Linked DNA regions of Callithrix jacchus. The main gene of each other region encodes a partner of the protein of the gene in region 2 in a complex. Links are inferred from orthologs where the notes say so. Each region holds a gene or a part of one and is shown on either strand. Other genes may lie near its edges. The genes, in order: KLHL22, RBX1, CUL3, DYRK2 and KBTBD4.

Evidence for each region.
Region 1: RBX1 (region 2) and KLHL22 share a complex: the UniProt entries of both Homo sapiens proteins name them as parts of the BCR(KLHL22) E3 ubiquitin ligase complex. The link is inferred for Callithrix jacchus from reciprocal best matches to the Homo sapiens genes RBX1 and KLHL22.
Region 3: RBX1 (region 2) and CUL3 share a complex: the UniProt entries of both Homo sapiens proteins name them as parts of the BCR(ARMC5) E3 ubiquitin ligase complex. The link is inferred for Callithrix jacchus from reciprocal best matches to the Homo sapiens genes RBX1 and CUL3.
Region 4: RBX1 (region 2) and DYRK2 share a complex: the UniProt entries of both Homo sapiens proteins name them as parts of the E3 ligase complex. The link is inferred for Callithrix jacchus from reciprocal best matches to the Homo sapiens genes RBX1 and DYRK2.
Region 5: RBX1 (region 2) and KBTBD4 share a complex: the UniProt entries of both Homo sapiens proteins name them as parts of the BCR(KBTBD4) E3 ubiquitin ligase complex. The link is inferred for Callithrix jacchus from reciprocal best matches to the Homo sapiens genes RBX1 and KBTBD4.

Annotation. Positions count from the first base shown.
Region 1 is NC_133502.1:210,359,128-210,362,736, forward strand, and holds part of KLHL22 (kelch-like protein 22), read right to left. Parts: intron 1,388-3,609; coding exon 1,154-1,387; intron 1-1,153. UniProt on the Homo sapiens protein: Substrate-specific adapter of a BCR (BTB-CUL3-RBX1) E3 ubiquitin ligase complex required for chromosome alignment and localization of PLK1 at kinetochores.
Region 2 is NC_133502.1:191,768,026-191,772,202, reverse strand, and holds the start of RBX1 (E3 ubiquitin-protein ligase RBX1), read right to left. Parts: upstream 2,819-4,177; 5' UTR 2,798-2,818; coding exon 2,720-2,797; intron 284-2,719; coding exon 205-283; intron 1-204. UniProt on the Homo sapiens protein: E3 ubiquitin ligase component of multiple cullin-RING-based E3 ubiquitin-protein ligase (CRLs) complexes which mediate the ubiquitination and subsequent proteasomal degradation of target proteins, including proteins involved in cell cycle progression, signal transduction, transcription and transcription-coupled nucleotide excision repair.
Region 3 is NC_133507.1:146,241,635-146,245,243, forward strand, and holds part of CUL3 (cullin-3), read right to left. Parts: intron 1,385-3,609; coding exon 1,156-1,384; intron 1-1,155. UniProt on the Homo sapiens protein: Core component of multiple cullin-RING-based BCR (BTB-CUL3-RBX1) E3 ubiquitin-protein ligase complexes which mediate the ubiquitination and subsequent proteasomal degradation of target proteins.
Region 4 is NC_133510.1:51,480,672-51,484,729, forward strand, and holds the start of DYRK2 (dual specificity tyrosine-phosphorylation-regulated kinase 2), read right to left. Parts: upstream 2,879-4,058; 5' UTR 2,469-2,878; coding exon 2,420-2,468; intron 1,836-2,419; coding exon 1,687-1,835; intron 984-1,686; exon of another isoform or gene 829-983; intron 1-828. UniProt on the Homo sapiens protein: Serine/threonine-protein kinase involved in the regulation of the mitotic cell cycle, cell proliferation, apoptosis, organization of the cytoskeleton and neurite outgrowth. Functions in part via its role in ubiquitin-dependent proteasomal protein degradation.
Region 5 is NC_133511.1:112,633,309-112,637,424, forward strand, and holds the start of KBTBD4 (kelch repeat and BTB domain-containing protein 4), read right to left. Parts: upstream 2,819-4,116; 5' UTR 2,714-2,818; coding exon 2,050-2,713; intron 487-2,049; exon of another isoform or gene 369-486; intron 1-368. Other genes in the region: NDUFS3 (NADH dehydrogenase [ubiquinone] iron-sulfur protein 3, mitochondrial), read left to right, coding at 3,722-3,785, 3,897-3,959. UniProt on the Homo sapiens protein: Substrate-specific adapter of a BCR (BTB-CUL3-RBX1) E3 ubiquitin ligase complex which targets CoREST corepressor complex components RCOR1, KDM1A/LSD1 and HDAC2 for proteasomal degradation.

The DNA.
Region 1 (3,609 bases), about 19 Mb from region 2:
GAGCCACTGCACCCAGCTCAGAATGCTCTTTGACTATGATCAAAAAAGAGCATCCCATTCTGAGCTGGGTACAGTGCATACATGGTCAATACCGAAAATGATCATACTGAAAAGTAGTGCTGCAGGGCCTGATTATGAATGTTTTTCCTCATCTCATTCTTTTTTTTTTTTTTTTTTTTTTTTGGAGACAAAGTCTTGCTCTGTCGCCCAAGCTAGAGTGCAGTGGCGTCATCTTGGCTTACTGCAACCTTCACCTCCCGGGTTCCAGCAATTCTCCTGCCTCAGCCTCCAGAATAGCTAGGATTACAGGTACCTGCTACCACATCTGGCTAATTTTCATATTTTTGGTAGAGACAAGGTTTCACCATCTTGGCCAGGCTGGTCTCGAACTCTAGACCTTGTGATCCACCTACCTCAGCCTCCCAACGTGTTGAGATAACAGGCGTGAGGCACTGCGCCCAGACACCTTTCTCTATTTTTTAAAGTTCCTGCAGTGTGGTTACCTTAACTTTATAATCAAAGTTTGTTTTTTTTTTTTTTTAATAGAGACAGGGTCTCATTCTGTCACCTAGGCTGGGGAGCAGTGGTGTGATCATAGCTCAATGTAGGCTTAAACAATCCTCCCACCTCAGCCCCCCGAGTAACTGGGACTACAGGTTTGTGCCATCATGCCTCGGCCTAAAGCCCAGGCTGGAATGCAGTGGCATGATCTCAGCTTATTGCAACCTCTGACCTGGGCTCAAGCCATCCTCCAACCTCAGCCTCCCAAGTAGCTGAGATTATAGGCCTGCGCCACCACATCCGGCCTAAAAGTTTTTGATAATAATAAGAAAAGGTAGAAGTGTATGTGTATGATACTGTCACGGTGACATTTGTCCAAACTTACAGAATGTGCCAAAAGTGATGCAGTCTCAACAACTGTGAGACATCCCTCACCTCTGGAGTGAGAGATCTGCAGTGGGGAGGCTGTAAGTGTATGGGGGAAAAGGGGGTGTATGGAAACTGTACCTTCCACTTAATTTTGCTGTGAACCTGTAACTGCTCTGAAAAAGTCTATTTTAAAAAGGCACATATTGCAATCATATTTTCCATCCACAGCAACTGAGATGGTTGGGAACGATGATGGGTGTGGACAGCCCCAGGCCCCACTCACTTGGTGCACATCCCTCCTGTAGCCAGCATCGTTGTTGCTGCCCCCGATCACATACAGCTTGTTGAAAAGGGTCGCCATGCCGTGCCAGGCGCGCCGCACAGGCCCATCAGCCAGTGTGTGCCAAGTGTTGCTGCCTGGATCGTAGCAGTGTGTTTCTTTCAGGTAGTCCTCCCCTCTGCGGCCGCAGGTGATATACATCTTCCCCTCCAGCGTCGCACCAGCGTGAGCATACACCTGTGTGGAGCCACCAGAACTGCTGTGAGAGAGCAGTGAGGAAAGGTGACTGGGTAGACTCTGTCAAGGCCACTCACCACTCCACACCTGCCTGACAATGCTGTGAGGCTTCACCACTTCTCAGTTCCTCCTCACATGCAGACGAGAATGTTCCCTCGATTCTCACTGGACATACTGTCCTAGTCACTGACCTCTAACCTCTTCCAATAGGGGATGTATCTGTAGACTCAGAGATCAAATGTAACCTTTGTCTTTCCTTTGCCCCTAAAGTTAATACCTTACATGGGGAAACTCCAAAAAAATAAAAGCACGTTTTTCAAGTCAGTCTGGGTGAAGCCACAGAACGCTGAGGACTGCTGACCTGCCCTCAGTGGCCTCCACCCCTCCCCCACTCCCACTGACCATGCAATCCTCCTGGCCTGCTGAACCTGCTTTCAAAACCTGTTTGGAAATAACATCTACTGACTCATGATGTGGGGAGAAAAATAACACAGGTCTTGATTCTGGTCCTGAGCATTCTGTGGGCTTTTTACTCCCTCTGGTGGGCTATCTCTATAGGGCGCAGCCTGCCCCCCTCATGGGCACCCCTCACCCTACCCTACCACTTTCAGAACCCACCCACTCACACCCAGCAGGCCAACAGAAGGCCCCAAGGCAAGACTGTAAGTGTTTTGAGGTAGAGGAGACCCTCAGGGTGTGGAGGCTGCAGAATTATGTCACCAGGCAGGTCAGTAACACCAAGGCTATGCGGGTGGCAAAACAAGAGGCTAGAGAGCTGAACAGAGCAGTGGGAAGGAAGAACACACATCAAGGGTTTGGTTTGGGTTTTCTCCTATCACTGGTAGGGGTCTGGGAGGTTTTTCTTTTTAATTAAACTTTGCATTCTGAAATAAGTGTAGAGTAACAAGTAGTTGGAAGTAATAATACAGAGGTCTCATGTGCCCTCTTTCCCCAATGGTAAGAGCCTGTGTTACTGTTATCAGTGTCACCAGGATGCTGACATGAACACAGCCACAGAGCTGTTCTACCACCAACAGGATCCCAAGGGGCCACCCTTTAGGGTAACACCCACTTACTTCCCTTTCCCTAATCCCCTCCTTGAACCCAGGAAACCACCAATCACTTCTCTATTTCTACAATTTTTGTAACTTCAAGGGTGTTGGCTGAATTAAATCAGTATACAATCTTTCAACACTGGCTTTCTACCACAACCCAGGTTCCACCGGGTTGGGGCATGTACAGGTTGAGTACATCCAAAGTCTGAGACTTTTTGAACACAAACATGGTACTCAAAGGAAATGCTTGTTGGAAGCAATTCAGACTTTTGGACAAGGAATGCTGAACCAGTTAACTGTAATGCAAAGATTCAAAATTTCAGATAATCGGTATTGAATATGCACCAACAGTTCCCTTTTTATTGCTGAGTAGTATTCCATGTGTATGTACCATGGCTTGTTTAACCACTCACTTCTGGAAACATCTGGTTTGTTTCCAGTGTCTGCCCACTACCAATAAAGTGACTATTAACATTCATGTACAGGTACTTTTTGTTGTTAGTTTTGGAAACAGGTTTTTGATCTATTGCCCATGCTGGAGTATGGTGGCACAATCTTGACTCACTGCAACCTCTGCCTCCCAGGTTCAAGCAATTCTCGTGCCTCAGCCTCCTGAGTAGCTGGGATTACAGGCACGTATCACCATGCCCAGCTAATGTGTACAGAATAGTTTTCATTTCTCTGGGATAAATACCCAGGATGGCAACTGCTGGGTCACATGATAGTTGGAAGAAACTGCCAGACCTGTTTTCCAGAGTGGCTATACCATCTCACATTCCCATCAGCAATGCATGAGCATAGTTTCCCTGCATAGTCACCAACCAGTATTTCGTATTGTCACTGCTTTTTATTTTAGCCATCATGAGGTAGTTCTCTCACTATGGCTTTAATTTACATTTCCCAGGCCGGACACAGTGGCTCACCTGAGGTCAGGAGTTTGAGAGCAGCCTGTCTCTACTAAAAATACAAAAATTAGCCAGGTGTGGTGGCACGTGCCTGCAGTCCCAGCTACTTAGGAGGCAGAGGCAGGAGAATCGCCGCTTGAACCCAGGAGGCAGAGCAGTGAGCCAAGCTCGCACCACTGCACTCCAGCGTGGGTGACAGAGTAAGGCTCCATCTCAATAAAAAAAATAAAAATAAGCCGGTCTCAGTGGCTCACACCTGTAA
Region 2 (4,177 bases):
TAGATTTATTCTGAGAGCTGGGTATGCTTCCAGGACATCATAAAAAAACTACTCTATTTCCAACACATCAACAGATTAGATACAGAAGACCGAGTGCTCAGCATAGGCTTCTATCTCCTTGTGAAGAAGAAAATTGGTCACATCAAGATAGCCACAATCTCTGTAACCTTCTCAACTTTCTCCCATCCTCCTCCAATTACTTACAAAGATCCATAATGTGGTTCCTGCAGATGGCACAGTTATCAACCACAATATCCCAGGCCCAGAGGGCTACTGCATTCCACTGCAAAGACAAAAAGAGGGAACAATGCATTCTCCTTGTAACACACACTCTTTACGACTTCATGCTGCAGCTGCAGTTACCACCTCTTCGGCCATGGGGAACCACCAAACACAAGTTTCTGGATATTACATTATTCTTATTATATCAAAGGACAACGGTAGACTACACGTATGTTCTCCCATTCTCCAAAAGGCTGCGTATGTCAACACAGAAATTAATGAGTCATCTTTTGTTTCTTATAGTTTAAAATACTTTGGCCAGGAGCACGCCTATAATCCTAGCACTTTGGGAGGCTGAGGCGGGTGGATCACAAGGTCAAGAGATCGAGACCATCCTGGTCAACGAGGTGAAACCCTGTCTCTACTAAAAATACAAAAATTAGCTGGGCACGGTAGTGCGCACCTGATGTCCCAGCTACTCGGGAGGCTGAGGCAGAATTGCTTGAACCCAGAAGGCGGAGGTTGCAGTGAGCCGAGATCGTGCCATTGCACTCCAAGCTGGGTAACAACAGCACAACTCCATCTCAAAATAAAATAAAATAAAACAATTTAGTTAGTGGCCAGGCACAGTGGCTTGTACCTATAATCCTAGCACTTTGGGAGGCCGAGGCGAGGGGATCACCTGAGGTCAGGAATTTGAGACAAGCCTGGCCAACATGGCAAAACCTCATCTCTAGTAAAAATACAAAACTTAGCTGGGCATGGTGGCAGTTGACTATAATCCCAGCTACTCGGCAGGCCGAGGCAGAACTGCTTGAACCTCGGGGGCAGAGGTTGCAATGAGCTGACATTGGTGCCACTTTACTCCAGCCTGGGCAAAAGGGTGACTCTGCCTCAAAAAAATGAAATAAAATAATTGTCAGCCGTATCAATGTAAACAAATTAGGAACAATTTTTAACTGCCCGTTGTAGGCTTAATAAACACAAACTTGAATTACTGTGCAGGTTTTTGTGGCAGTTGCAGAAGAGCTCAAAATCTGAGTGAGTATCTGCTCTTCCAGGAAGCTCCGGAAGCATGAGCAGTGAGGTGAAAGCTAGGGAACAGAATGAACTAAGATGATCATGGGACCATAAAATGGATAATCATGGGATAAGCTGGATAATTAAGTACCCGTGTCAGTACACAGACCAAGGTCATCACTTAAATCTTAGAAGATTACTTTATAACAAATTCTAGAATTCACTAGAATTTTGTTTGATTCTTACCATAAAATAAACAGATGTTCCCAACTTTTATGTCTTGTATTGAGATAATTCCAGTAAGAGTTTAACTAAAAGTGGCATTTCAGTTATTCCACTCTGGCTTCCTCAGTTACGAATACTGCCAAACCTTCATCACTTTCAGACCCCATTCTCAGTGCCTTATAACTTCTTTCCCACTTTTCACATCACAGTTTCAACTTGGAGGAAAAGCCCCTCTTCTATTATTCTTCAATATGGCTGCTGGCTGTAACTGAGCAGCAGTGGCCACAATGAGACACCAAAAAGCACTAGGAGGGGGGATATGTCAGTGTTTAACCAGATGTTCCAGGAATATCTTCCCTATTTCAGAATCTCCATTTTGAACAGCTTTCATGTTAGGTGGGAATCGACACTGTCCCCCAAACTGTGGCAAACCACTAAAAGGCATTTCATATAAAAAGACACGTTCCATTTTTGCTTTTCCACTCTTACCAAGTCATTCACGACTAGTACTCAACCCTCCCTAAATGCCACAGGATTTGGGCTCGGATTTTCTTAACAAATGCCACCATGCTTTTTATTTTTATTTTGGAAGGGGGAGATTCTGGACGTGACAGAGAACCCAGGACTGAGATGGTTATGTGAAAAGACAACAGACGTCTCAGAAGAGCCAAGCACTACACTCCAGACTCTTTAGACGGTGTGAGGCCCAGAGATGGGGTTAATGGAGGCCTCGGTTCGGCGAGCACCAAGTCTGGATTCCTCAAAGTGAGAGGACCCCAAGCTTCAAAAAGGGGCGGGGCAAGATCACCAGCGGGGTCCCTCAGAGGCCTCCAATGCAGTACGACCTCAGATTGTTCCCAGCTTTCGCCGCACTGCCCCATCCTCCACCGCCGCAGTCACTCCGACTCCCCATTTCACCCACCCTACCCCACCCTGTCCTTCCCCCACCTCGACCACTCCAGTGACAGCTCAAGCGCTTGGCTCCTGCCGCCAAATCGCAACCCCGCGTATCTCAATAAGCAGCTCCGTGATTGGCCCCTCAGCCTCACAGCGAAACCAACACGTCCCTGACAGTGGGCCACCGTCACGCCGATCAACTCTAAGACCCGCCCCCCGGCTTCCTTTCGTGGTACCCGGTCCCAGGAACGCCCTGAAATGAAACCCTTTACTCCGCGCCTCGACCATCCTGGGGCCTGCCAGCCAGATCCGCGCCTCTCTAGCTTCCCTGAGGAAGGTGCTGGCGAGACCCAACCTTTTTCACTTCAAAGCGCTTCTTGCCCGCGCCGCTGTTGGTGCCGCTCGGGGTATCCACATCCATCGCTGCCGCCATTTTGGAAATACAAGATCTGTCGTCCGACCACCGCGCCTGCGCAACTGTGCACGCCTCACTCCCCCGCCTCCCGGCACCTCCTCCCACACCCCACCCCTTATTGGCGCGCGAGAGGCAGGTGGGGGCGGAGCACGTCACCACGCCTCTTAAAGGGGCTGGCGCAGATTGCCCCACCCGCGTCGTGTCGGCCGGTGGGGGCGGTGGCGGGAGTGGCTGGGGCGGGGCCGAGGCTACGTGAGCTAGCCTGGTGGAAATGTTCGAAAGGGTTTGCTCTCGCCGCCTCTTCTGGGAAGCCCCCGACCACACTCCGTCAGCTGGGGCGGCGGCTGTTTCCTCCGCATGAGCACGACCTGCGCCGCAGCCCTACCCGGCTTGTCGGGCTCTCCGGGTCGCCGCGCAGCTCCCAGTGCGGGCTGGGGAAGGCGCGGGGGTGGGTACCCGCCGCCTACCCCAGAACCCGAGAGCCCTCGCTGGTCTTTCGCAGACTCTGACCCGCCTCGTAGCCAGGCCCGAGGTGCAGTCCTCCTGAGAGGGCTGGAGCGCAGGCACCGTCTGGTCTCCGATTTCTGTTTGGGAACTGCTCGGGGATTCGATGGGAAGAAGGGAGACCTCAGAAGGCCCTCCTCAAGGCCAGACTGAGCAGGCCCCCAGCCCTGCCCTCACCCGCCCGCGAAGCCTGGGGGGTGGCCTCTGCGCCCGCCTAGTCGCAGTCCTAGGACCGCCTTTGGTTGGGGTGCCCGGCTTCACTATAGCGTGTCAGTCCCCACTCCCCCTTCCTCAGTTGTCATCTGCGTGGGGTGATTTCTTCCCGGTCCGTGTCCTCTGTCTGCTGCTTGAGCTATAATGAAACCAACCCACTTGAAGTCACTGTATTTCTTGAATTTTGTGAGGCATTCTGATCTTTTTTTTTTTTTAATGGAGACAATGTCTCACTATGTTGCCCTGGCTGGCCTCGAACTCTTGGTCTCAGGCGATCCTCACACTTCGGCCTCCCACAGTGAGTACTCACAGGAGTACGCCACCACGCCCGGCACAAGCACCTGTACTTCGTGTCACTCTCCCATTTCTGCCTAGACCAGGACTCCCTTTGACATCTCTAACCTTGCAGAGGTGTGACTGCCAGATCACTCTTAGAGGCATGGTGGCACATGCCTGTAATCTCAGCACTTTGGGAGGCTGAGGCGGGTGGATGGATCACATGAGGTCAGGAGTTCGAGACCAGCCTGGCCAACATGGCAAAACCCCATCTCTACAAAAAATAGAAAAATTAGCCAGGTGTGGTGGCATGCGCCTGTAGTGCCAGCTACTCAGGAGGCTGAGGCAGGAGAATCGCTTGAACTCGGGAGGCAGAGGTTGCAGTGAGCCGAGGTAGTGCCAGTG
Region 3 (3,609 bases), on a different chromosome or scaffold from region 2:
ATTTTAGAAAACATGGCAAACATACTAGATGACTTCTATTTTTTGCTGTTACAAAAAAGGTTTAATAGAAGAGTCTTTTAAAAAGAAAGCCCCTCTAGCTGAAAAAAATTTTTTAAGTATAACTTTCCAGTAATTTATCATATATACAACAATGTAACAATTTTAAAACACAAGGTAAGGATTCCACTAGAGATAAACATGGCTCAACTTCCCACCAGCTCTTTTTCCCTTCTCTTGTATCCTCCTCCTCGTTATAATTCTCCTTTAAAAACCTTTCTTTATTTTCTCCATAGGTCATGACCCCAAAAGGCAATATATATTTCTTTTACTAAAAGGAAGTGGATAAAATATTGCTGAGATTTCATCTAGGAAGTAGGACAACCATTTTTTTTTTTTTTTTTTTTTTTAATTTCCTAATACCGTATCAGTGGTAAAGGCAAAGTTTTAAAACAAAGCATCAGAAACTAAGAAGGGAGGATATGGTTATTATTCTTTGATTTACAACTTCTTCTAGGATACTTTTCACGATTTTTTTTTAAAACCCCTGGAAAATAAATATTGTGATTTAAAAAATGCTATAGTTTACCTCAAAAGTGTTTTTTGCTTTTATACAATCCTCCTTCTTCCTTTTCCATTCTGTAACTTCAGTGTTCCCCAAACCAATTTAATTTATTTAAACATATCAATAGGGAAGATACAAATATTTTTGCATTTTCAGAACCCTATCATAACTAAATCCCAAAGGAAAGTCTACAGAAATCTTAAGATGGAAATTTAAGATTTTTAAGATAATCACAAAACCACAAGAGAGCCCAAACCCTTTGTTTGGTATACAACAAGTACAGGAACGAATGAGGGGCTCCTTGGCCTCACCAATACTATTACACCTTTTATCTTCTGGGTTAAGAGAAACACAAAATGAGGAGACTTAAACTGAAAGACCAGAAATGCTCAATTAATTAGAAATGTCTAAAATCTTCATTAGTAAGACAGTATCAAGCTTGGAAATCCCATCAGAGTAACAACGGAGAGAAATTAACAACACACACCACAACTTCTTGAAAACTGTTATTATCTGCTTTAATTGTAGGAAAATTTAAAAAATATTGATATGGCAGAATAAGAATTTTATTATTTTCAATAGGTAACACTTACCTTCTGTCTTTCCATTTTTCAACATATGTACTAGCCCAGAATTCTCCATTTCTACTATAGTCTTCATGTGCTTGGAAATGAGTTCCCTCTCAACCACCTTTACAATTGGTTCTTCCGTTGATTTGTCAAGGCAGTGCATCACTCGTTCTATTTCTTCATTAATTCTAGCTTCTACTTTCTTTATATATACTGAAGCACTATTTTCTGCTAAAAATTTCTGGCTTTCCATCTGCAATTTAAAAATGTAGTATTTTTAACATAGAAAAAATGTGGTTTTGCTCTTAGCTGGGTTTCTACAGTGTTTATAACAAATCAGCCTAAGTAAAATAAGTACTATAAGCATTTTGTGTAATTTCTCATTACAAAGATTGATAGTCTGAATTATAACCTTTAAAGGCTTTGGTATGTACATAATACTAAATTAAAACTTTATCTGTAAGCAATGTTTTTCAAACTGTGCCAATGTACTCCAAAAACCAGCAGAAAAAGTAAATACACACCAATGAGGGTCAAAAGTATAGAAGCATCTGACTCCAACAGAATGGGATGTTCTTCTTTTGATTTGTTTAATGTAAAATTATAACCAGAAAGATTCATCATGTTTACCATAAGCTTTGCTGGCATACTGCTAGTTACTAAAGTCTTCCTGCCACCCACTCCCACTCTCAAACGAGTAGACATATACACTAAAGTTTGAGAAATAAGAGCTTTAAAATAACTATTAATATTGTCTGCTAACACAGCTTTACAAAAGTTCCACTAAATTGCAAATGTTACCCCAACTGATTTTAACAGATTTGATAGTAGTTTTAATGGTTATATTGAAGAATTATATACTGGAAGACACGTAGTCAATGTAAGTTACATATAAAATTTCGCAACTATCTCTCACTTTCTTAACAGTTTTAATTCTTGAGATAATCAAGTTCCTAAGAATATACATGTACACGCCAAACTAAAATCTTGCCTCTCTCCACTATTAAAAATAATACATATATGTCTTTATGCATACATACATGTAAGTATCACTGTAGCATAGTTTGGAATCTTGATTTATAAACAATTTTTCTATTAGTATGTTATCTACTGTAATAAAAAAAATGCAAGCTAATGCAAAGATTAGAAATACTGTCAAAAATATCTGCAACTAGTTGACATATTAGAAAATAAAGACCCTTTTCTATATTATAAATTAGTAATTAATAAAGCATGGTCCAGGCTCACCAATGCAGGCCACAAAGGTCTTCCTGATGGGCTATAAAACAATTTGAAGGGGGAGGGGGGAAGGCAGCAAGTCCTTTCTTTCTTTCTTTACGGGTAAGTGATACCAAAATTCACCAAGATCAATTTTTGTCTAACCAATAGCTATCATAAATGACCTAGTGAATTATATTAAGAGTTAAAAATTTTGTATTCATTTATTTTTTAAAAAGCATATTACTGGAATAAACACTTTACCTTTCTATTAAGACATCTGTTTCGGCAACGCTACAAAATTCCTACTGCTAATTGCTCAGAGAGTTACGGTTTTCAGGAAAGATGCCTGGTTACAGTTACCTTATAAATACAGTCTTATGTTTATTGGTCCTCAGTTATTGTTATTATCATCATTTCATTACAAACTAGTACCAGTTTAGCTTTACTTTTAGCAAGTTAATTGGGTTTGGAACACTGTTGTGAATTTCTATCAATAGTACTCATTGGTCTGTAATTTTTTAGTCAACCACCTTTAAGGCAAATATGCACTAAAAAATCATGCATATTCTTATATGTGTTTTATATATACACCCTTATGAGTACTTTGATAAAAGCTTACAGATGAGACTTTGTTGGTGATGTGCTACTATAAATTTATGGTACTTAAGTAATTCATATTAGATACAGTAAAAGGATAAAGAAATTTCTAAGTTTACGGTTTTATAACATACAGTTGACCCTTGAAGAACACAAGTTTGAACTGCACAAGTCAATGAAGTAGATTTTCTTCCTCCCCTGCCACCCCTGAGACAGCAAGACCAAGCCATCCTTCTTCCTCCTCCTCCTCCTCAGCCTACTCAATGTGAAGACAAGGATGAAGACCTGGATGATCCACTTCCATTTAGTGAACAGTAAATTATATTTTATCTTCCATATAATGATCTTAATAACACTTTCTTTTTTCTAGCTTACTTTAATACAATATGCAATACATGTAACATACAAAATATATGCTAATCGATTGTTTATTTTATCCCTAAGGTTTCCAGTCAACACACGCTGTAAGTTTTTGGGGAGTTAAAGGTTTTATGTGGCCTTTCGACTACACAGGGGATCAGCATCCCTATGGCCCACACTGTTCAAGGGTCATCTCTATAATTTTAAAAAACGTGTGTGTAAGTTCAAACTCTTCAATTTGTTATCGATGAGTTGCTTAACCGGAAATGGTCAAAATGTGAGGTAGGTGTGCAGATGGGC
Region 4 (4,058 bases), on a different chromosome or scaffold from region 2:
CACACACGTTAAAAACAAGTAACTCTGGCAAATGCCACGGCAAAATACAGGCCTCCATTATGAGGTGTACTGAGAAGCACATTCACATCCTTCCTTTTCTGGTACACCACAGGCTCTCCCTCCAGTGGAGACTTGTCGTTTTGTCTAATTTCATTACATGTTTTTCAATTGCAAAGAGGCTCTGATCAAGCAAAGCCCATCCTTACAAAATTGGAATCCACATGTAAACCAAATACTTTTTTCCCAGCTCACACCATGTCATGTGATTACATCAACACATAGAAAAAAACTGGATATTCCATTTTCCAAACTGTCAGATGATCCCAAACAAAAACAAATTCCAAACCCCTAAAATCAACAGCAGTCCCTTAACTAAAATATCACTGTGACAAGAACACTTAACAGTAATACACAGAACCATCCATCCTACTATCATCCACGTCCAACACGGATTAGCTAACTTCTGTGCAATGAATTCCCAGCCCCTGAGACCAGATGTGTTAAGATAGACAGAGAGGGAAGAGGTAAAATAGTAACAGTAACAAAACATTTTCCTATGAAACTTGCACACATCTGTCCAGGTCTAACAGGTGCAACTAGAGTCTAGACATCCCCTCACAGTTCTCCTCTGACAAACAAGTTTTCCCATAACATATGATTCCCCAGAGCTACTCCCCTGTAGGCCGGGGATGGCCTTTTCTTCAAGAACTCAACTTTCACTTGGCATATAAAACCAATCGCTAGCTAGCAAGCATTCCTCACATAGACCCATCTTAGGCTGTTCCTCTGGAAGATCCCATTGGAAAAAAAAGACCTCCAAACCAGCACCTCCTCCAAGCGCAGACCTCCTCCAGTCTGGCCATCACCATCCAAGGGTGATCCCTGGGAGCTGAGAAAAGGTACATGCTGAATCCAGCTGGCCAGTCTCCGCAGCCACCAGAAACTAGTCCCACGCCGGCCTCTTCCCTCCCTCTGGGCCCTCTGAGAGCACAGCACCTGTTAGGTGCCTTTTCCTTCCCATCTCCAAAGCAATGCTTGCCCTTTCATTTTGAATAATGTCCAACTGCAGAATCCTACAGGGGTGTCTTGTTTTGACTGCTGCCGCGGCTCTTATTTTTGTTAACGTTAATTACAATTTCTGCTGTGCTCAAACCTGTAGCACTCATAAAACATGCTTACACACGCGGGGGACAATTGGCGATGCTCCCTGCTGGTTGGAGCCAGGCCTGGGAGGCTCTTTGGGGGATCGATTTTCCGGGCAAGCCGGTCTGGCTGTCCCCTAACACGTATCTGTTTCTATAAATACCCACTACCCATGGGGATGTGGGGGAAGGACAGGGATGTTTACCGGGTCAGGGAAGGGAGCACTGAGAAGCAAGGACGAAAAATGAGGAAAGACAGAAGGAAAGCAGCAAGGAGGAAGTTCCTAGGAAGAGGAGCTCAGGGGTGGGCGGGCTCCGGAGGGGAAGTGAGGGGCCCACGCCACGAATCTTCCTTTGTGGCTGCAGCTTTGGGCTCGCCCAAGTTCACCACGGCGGCGTCGAGAAGAGGCCACCGGCCCGGGGCGTGGGGCTGCTCGGATCTCGACCCCTCTTTTCCCGGCCTCAGAACCCTCCAAGTCCGGGTGCGTCTGCCTGGGGCCCCTCCCGCCCCCACCGCCCAGGCCGCCCGCGGGCTGGGTCTCACCGTGTGGGCTGCGGCGGCAGCGTTGCTGGCCCGGAGAGGCGGCAGGGCGATGGGGGAGGGCGGGCCGGTCCCCACTCCGCTCCGGGTGGCCCCCGCACCGAGCCCCGGGGAAGCCTGAAGCTGGCGAACGGCGCTGTCCCCTCCTCGGCCTGGAAGCCACGTGCGGGAGGAGACAAAAGAGGGTCAGGGGGGAGACAGTCACCCGGACCCTCCCACCCCACTGGGCAGCCACACCGCTCTTCCAGGGAAAGACGAAGGAAGAGACCGGGGCAGTAAAAACGGGCGTTCGGGTCACGGCTCCCCAGTGCACACCCACGGGCGGGGCGCCGGCAGCTGCAAAGTTAGGTCAGGCCCTGGCGCGCGAGTTCGCGACCCGGTGGGGGAGCCGGGCCGCGCTGGGGCTTGCTGGCCCTCCTTCCAGGCGGCCAGCGGCCGGGAGGTGGCTTGGACAGCTGAGCAGGGCGCCACGGCCACGCCAAGCCCCGGGCAGCGCAGGGCGGGGCGTCAGGCTTGGACAGTCCCCGCCTGGGCTCCCGGCGGGCAGAAGCCAGGTCCGGCGTTGGGTTCCCCTCGGAGGGGCCTTGGGGGCTGCGCGCGACGTCCGCCCGGGGGCTCCCCCGCGCCGTGCGGCCGACTTTGTTAGAGGTCCTGCAGGCTGCGGCCGCCAGCGCCACAGGGGCTGCCCGGGGCCGGCGGGAGTCCGGGGAGCGGCGTGGGGGCACGGCCTCCTTACCAGTCGGGTAGGCGGCGGGAGCGGCGGCCGAAGGTTTCCTGGTTAACATGGCCGCTGGAGAGGAAAATGCATCTCAGGGCTGCCGTCGCTGCCGCCGGTCCTGCTGCTACTTCTGGCGGCCACCGCCGTCTCCCGGCCGCCCCTCACGCGGGTCCCCGGCGCCTCGTCGCCGCCTCGCGTCTGCTACAGCCAGACACACACAGTCCGCTGCATCCCCTCGGCCCGGGCCCGCCGCCGCGAGCCCCCCGCTCTCCTCCTCGCCGCCGTCCTCCTCTTCCTCGGGCGGCCGCAGCACCCTCCGGGCCGTGCACATGCCTCGCCCTCCCCTGCGCGCCGCGGGCCTCCCCGTCTCCCTCACATAGGAGCGCGGGGAGCTGGAAGCGCCGCAAGGACCGAAGACCGACTCGCTGGGGAGCCTCTCACCGGCCCGCGCGCGCGCGCCCCCGCGCACTCACACACAGGCGCGGGCGCGCGGCCCCGCCCCCGCCGCCCTCGCCGCCGCCGCAGGCCCCGCCCCCGGCTCCGGGGGCCCCGGCCACGCACACCCCACCCCCACCCGGCCTCCCGCCTGGCCCCGCCCGGCCCCTCCCCGCCCCCGGATCTCGCTCGGTCGCCCCTCTACTCCGCGGAAAACTCCGCGGCCTCCGCTCGCCTCCTCGGACCATCTGCACCGCTCCCCTCGACTCCCCTCCGGCGACCTTTTCCCCTCCCTGGCCCCCGCGGCGCCCCTCCTCTGCCCTACAGCGCAACCTACCGCTGCTGCCCTTCGGCCCAAAGCGCCGCAGTGACCCCTCCCCTGCCACGCGCGCCCCTGAACAGGAATGCATTTTCAGCTCTTCGAACCGAATGGCTGCTCAGACAATACTGCGTCCCCGTCCCCCCATTCTGAGTCCAGCCGCTTAACCACTCCCCTCTCCCCAATTCATCGCAGATAACTTAGTTGTGCCGGGGTCACCCCGGAGAATCAAGCCCCGGGAGGGGCCGCCGCTGAGCTCGGTGACCCTGAGCAGGGGCGAAAGAGGGTCTGCCCTCCCACCTCCACCACACACACTCTCCCGGGTTTACTGACACCAAGTGACCGCTTGCCAGTCGCTAGGACATGAGGAGGCAGAGGCGCGTGTGGACGGCAGCTGGGGAAGCAGTTGGCTGTGGGTTGCTAGGCAAAAATAAACATCAGAGACACCTCCCATTTCCTTACAACTCCGAGCCTTTCCCCTGCGCCGCCACTGGGAGAGACACATTTTCCTTTCAGCTTTCAGCTTTGAGGGAGCGACACCTCGAATTCTTCTCATCCCCTCACATGCATCTCTTTCCTCCTTTCCTTCCAAGACCGGTGGAAAATTCCCCTGCCTTTTTAATTTGCCATCTGCAACCTGTCTTTTCCTTGGAGACCAAAAAAAGCTGCTTTCCCTTCTTGCAACCGCGCCTCGTCCTGCGTGGCACACGGTGCGCCTCTGTACAAAGGTCACACAGGTTTTGCCACTTCAACAGTGAGGGGAGGGAGCTGGGAAAGCCCGACAAATCCCGGATGACTGGGCAGAGTTATGCCATGCACTTCCTTCTCGAGAGGTGCCTGGTTTCTGAGTTATCCTGGGGTCACAGGACCATTATGATCTGCCCCGCCCGACTGTCTCTGGCT
Region 5 (4,116 bases), on a different chromosome or scaffold from region 2:
GCATGCATATATATATATATATACACACACACACACACATACATGAAATTAGCCTAAAATTGCCTTTTTTTTTTTTTGAGGCAGGGTCTCACCCTGTCACTCAGGCAGGAGTGCAATCATGGTCATCATAGCCTCAACCTCCCAGGCTCAAGCAATCTTGCTTCAGCCTCCCAAGTAGCTGCGACTACAGGTGCATGCCACCAGGCCTGGCTATTTTCTTATTTTCTGTAGAGACAAGGTCTCACTATGTTGTCCAGGCTGATCTTAAACTCCTGGTATCAAGCGATCCTCCCTCCTTAGCCTTCCAAAGTGCTGAGATTACAGGCATGAGCCACTATGCCTGGTGTGCCTTTCCTTTTTTTAAAGATTGTCTCAGGTGTTTTATGAGGCCTCAAAAAATTGGGTAAAGACTCATAACTGTTCCTTTCCATGGAAATCTTTAGTAAAAGGCAAAAGATTTATACAATCTGGCTGGGCGCGGTGGTTCAAGCCTGTAATCCCAGCACTTTGGGAGGCTGAGGCGGGTGGATCACAAGGTCAAGAGATTGAGACCATCCTGGTCAAAATGGTGAAACCCCGTCTCTACTAAAAATACAAAAAATTAGCTGGGCATGGTGGCGCATGCCTGTAATCCCAGCTACTCAGGAAGCCGAGGCAGGAGAATTGCCTGAACCCAGGAGGCGGAGGTTGCAGTGAGCCGAGATCGTGCCATTGCACTCCAGCCTGGGTAACAAGAGCGAAACTCCGTCTCAAAAAAAAAAAAAAGATTTATACAATCTGAAGAGAAACCAGAGTATGTACCCTGTTTTTTAAAATCAAAATAGATGGCTTGATATGCTCCCATCTGCCATGGAAGCAACCTAGCAGGCTGTAGACCTCACACTTTTCTTTTTTTTTTTTTTTTTGGAGATGGAGTTTCACTCTGTCGCCCAGGCTGGATTGCAATGGCGCGATCTCGGCTCACTGCAACCTCCACCTCCCAGGTTCAAGCAATTCTCCTGCCTCAGCCTGCTGAGTATCTGGGATTCCAGGCATGCACCATCATGCCCAGCTAATTTTTTTGTATTTTTAGTATTGGCAGGTTTCACCATGTTGGTCAGGGTGGTCTTGAACTCCCAATCTCAGGTGATCTGCCCCCCTCAGCCTCCCAAATTGCTGGGATTATAGGCATGAGCCACTGCGCCTGACCACTTTTATTTTTTTTTTTTGAGACAGAGTCTTGTTCTGTTGCCCAGGCTGGAGTGCAGTGGGGCAGTCTGGGCTCACTACAACCTCTGTCTCCGGGTTCAAGTGATTGCCCACGCCTGGCTGAGCTCACACCTTAAATATGGTTGTATCTCACTTGCTGGATCAGGATTATTTCCTATTTTTAGCCCATCACTAAAAAAGTTTTTAGGCCGGGCTCAGTGGGCTCATGCCTATAATCCCAACACTTGGAAGCCGAGGTGGGTTCTTGGCACTTGAGGTCTGGAGTTTGGGACCAGCCTGACCAACATGGAAAAACCCTGTCTCTACTAAAAATACAAAACTAGCCAGATGTGGTGGCACATGCCTGTAATCCCAGCTACTTGGGAGGTTGAGGCAGGAGAATTGCTTGAACCCAGGAGGTGGGGGTTGCAGTGAGCTGAGATCACGCCAGTGCACTCCAACCTGGGCAACAAGAGCTGAACTCTGCCTCAAAAAAAAAAAAAAAAAGTTTTTAGTCTTAGATATTTTGCCTCATCACCAATTTACATAGGTAAGTGGACCCAGAGGGACATGCAAAGTACAGGAGTAAGTAGAGTATAATACAAATTACTCCTCACTACTTTGTGTGTGGTCAAGTGTTGTGCTTTCAGTTTCCTGGCTTCTTCCTCTAACACTGTCTCTGACATCAATTACAGTGAATCCCAACTCAATCTCTCTGGGCAAGTTATCTCAGTAAGAATGTAGGAATAATAATGTAAACTAACACCAGGAAGTTTGATGGTTTCTTTCTCCTAGACTAGAACATTCACTAAACATCATAGCCAAGTGACTGGGTATGATGTGTCCCTTCCCTAAACTTACCCGAGATGATATCTGTAAGTAGGTGGTGGGGCAAGTGGAGAAATTCCTCTGTATTCTGCAGCTGGGCCAGGTGGGTCTTGGCACAGTGTTTGGCAGCAGTATAGAGCTCAGGATCACTGTGCCGATCTGCCAGCCACATCACCTGAAGGCAGTTTCCCACTTGCACTGTGCGGGCCAAAAACCGAGAGCATTCCTCAAAAAGAGATGTCAGCTGATACATGTCTGACACCTCATAAATTTCCTGTAACTCTTCAGCTCGAAGTTTCACAGTCCCATGGTAGATATAATCAACCAGGAGCTGGAAAACAGACTCGCTGACATCCTGCAGCACAATCACTCGGTTGTGGGCCTCCTTCAGGTTGGAAGTGAACATAGATCGAAAGAAGCAGCTCTGAGCTGAGAGGACCAGCCGATGGAGCTGAAACTCCCGACCTTCCACCGAAATGGTGACATCAGCAAAGAGCTCCTCCTCTAGACATAGTTTCATGATGCCTTGAGCCACACGGCCTGAGTGTGACCGATCTTTGAACGTGTAGTTCACAAAGTAGTTTTCATCCATGGATGCTCCAGGCTCCTCTGGTGATTCCATGCTAGCCAATTTCTCTCTCTGCCAGCTGTCTGCAAAGCAACACCACCTTGAGTAACTTGAGGAATTCACAGCCATAGTCTGTGAATCCAACTGGCCAACTCAGTAAGGGAAAAGGAAAAAGTAAGAACAAAGTGGGTCCAGATTGCCCTTAGTCCTGGCCCTGCCCATGATGTCCCTGATGCTATCCTTTAACCAGAGCTGGGTTCATTCTCTCCAGTGGTGTCCCTCCGCTAACGAAATAAATCAAAGTTCCAACTCTGGGTGTTTTCCTGAAAAAACACGGAATAATTCCTTTCCGTGATGTTAACAAAGGACTTGGGATTTAGGTCAATATATGACAGCAAAGGGCTGGGGAAGGTCTGTGAACGTAAAAGCCTAACCAAATAACTGGGGCATAGAACTGGTGAAGCTCAGGGTCAGTAGAATCAGACAAAAAGGACTCCCTGCCCCGGCTTAGTGGCCAGGTCCTCTCTTGCCCCGCGCATGGAGTTCAGACGCTCCAATATGAGGCCTAATCTGGGATATCCGTCGGTCTCACATTTGCTCTCTTCTGGGCTGCTTCCCCTACACTTTCCTGCTCGCTCGAATGACTCCCTGTGGCTGCGTCCCAGAACTCCAGAGTCCAGCCGCCCCCAGGCCGGGGCACTAGGAGGCCCATCGCCCAGTTGTCCCCGCTCCACCTAAAGTCGCCTGGGAAACGGTCGCCAGGGAAACCGTTCTTACTGCTCAGGCCCGCCAGCCCTCGTCAAAAGCTTGGCTCAGAGACCGGGGGAGGAGTGTGGAGCGTAGAACTTAGAAAGCCCGGCCCCTCCCATCCTCTCACCCGTCTGGTTCTTCAGCATCCTCGCCTTCTCTCCAGGCTCTGCCACACGGAGCTAGGACTACGCTCACCCCACGGTTCCCCTACCTGCCTGTCTCGCTTTCTCACCTGCGTTCCCTCCTTTCATCCCGGATCCCGGAACCTCTGCTTCCGGCTCCACGTCCGCCCGGAAGAAGATCTGCTGCACATTTCCGCTTCCGGTCCGTGCCCTTGCGGCTTCGTGTCCTGCGGTCTTGTCTTCCGCTGCCTTGTGTCCGGGGAACATGGCGACGTTGGCAACCAGATTTTGGTGGCGCGGGATCGTGGGGGCCGCGGCGCTGACCAGAGGTGAGCAGGGGCAGCCAGCTGAGACCAGGGTCAGGAGCAGCGGCGCGCCCAGCGGAGAGAGCTCCTTAGGCCTCACCCCGTGCTTTTGTGCCTTTTAATCTCCCTGTGCAGGGGCTGGGCGACCCTTGGTTCTGCTGCCGGTGAGGCGTGAGAGTGCCGGGGCCGACACGCGCCGTGAGTATGTGCGGGCAGCGCTCTTCTTTGAACTACTGGCGGGGGGCTCTAGATGCCTGTCCTTGCCCTAGGATGCCCTTCCCTGCGTCCTCCTGGCAAATCTTGGGAGACCTAACTGCAGTGGTCTTCTCTCTGCATTAGAAATCGAGCCCTCGGC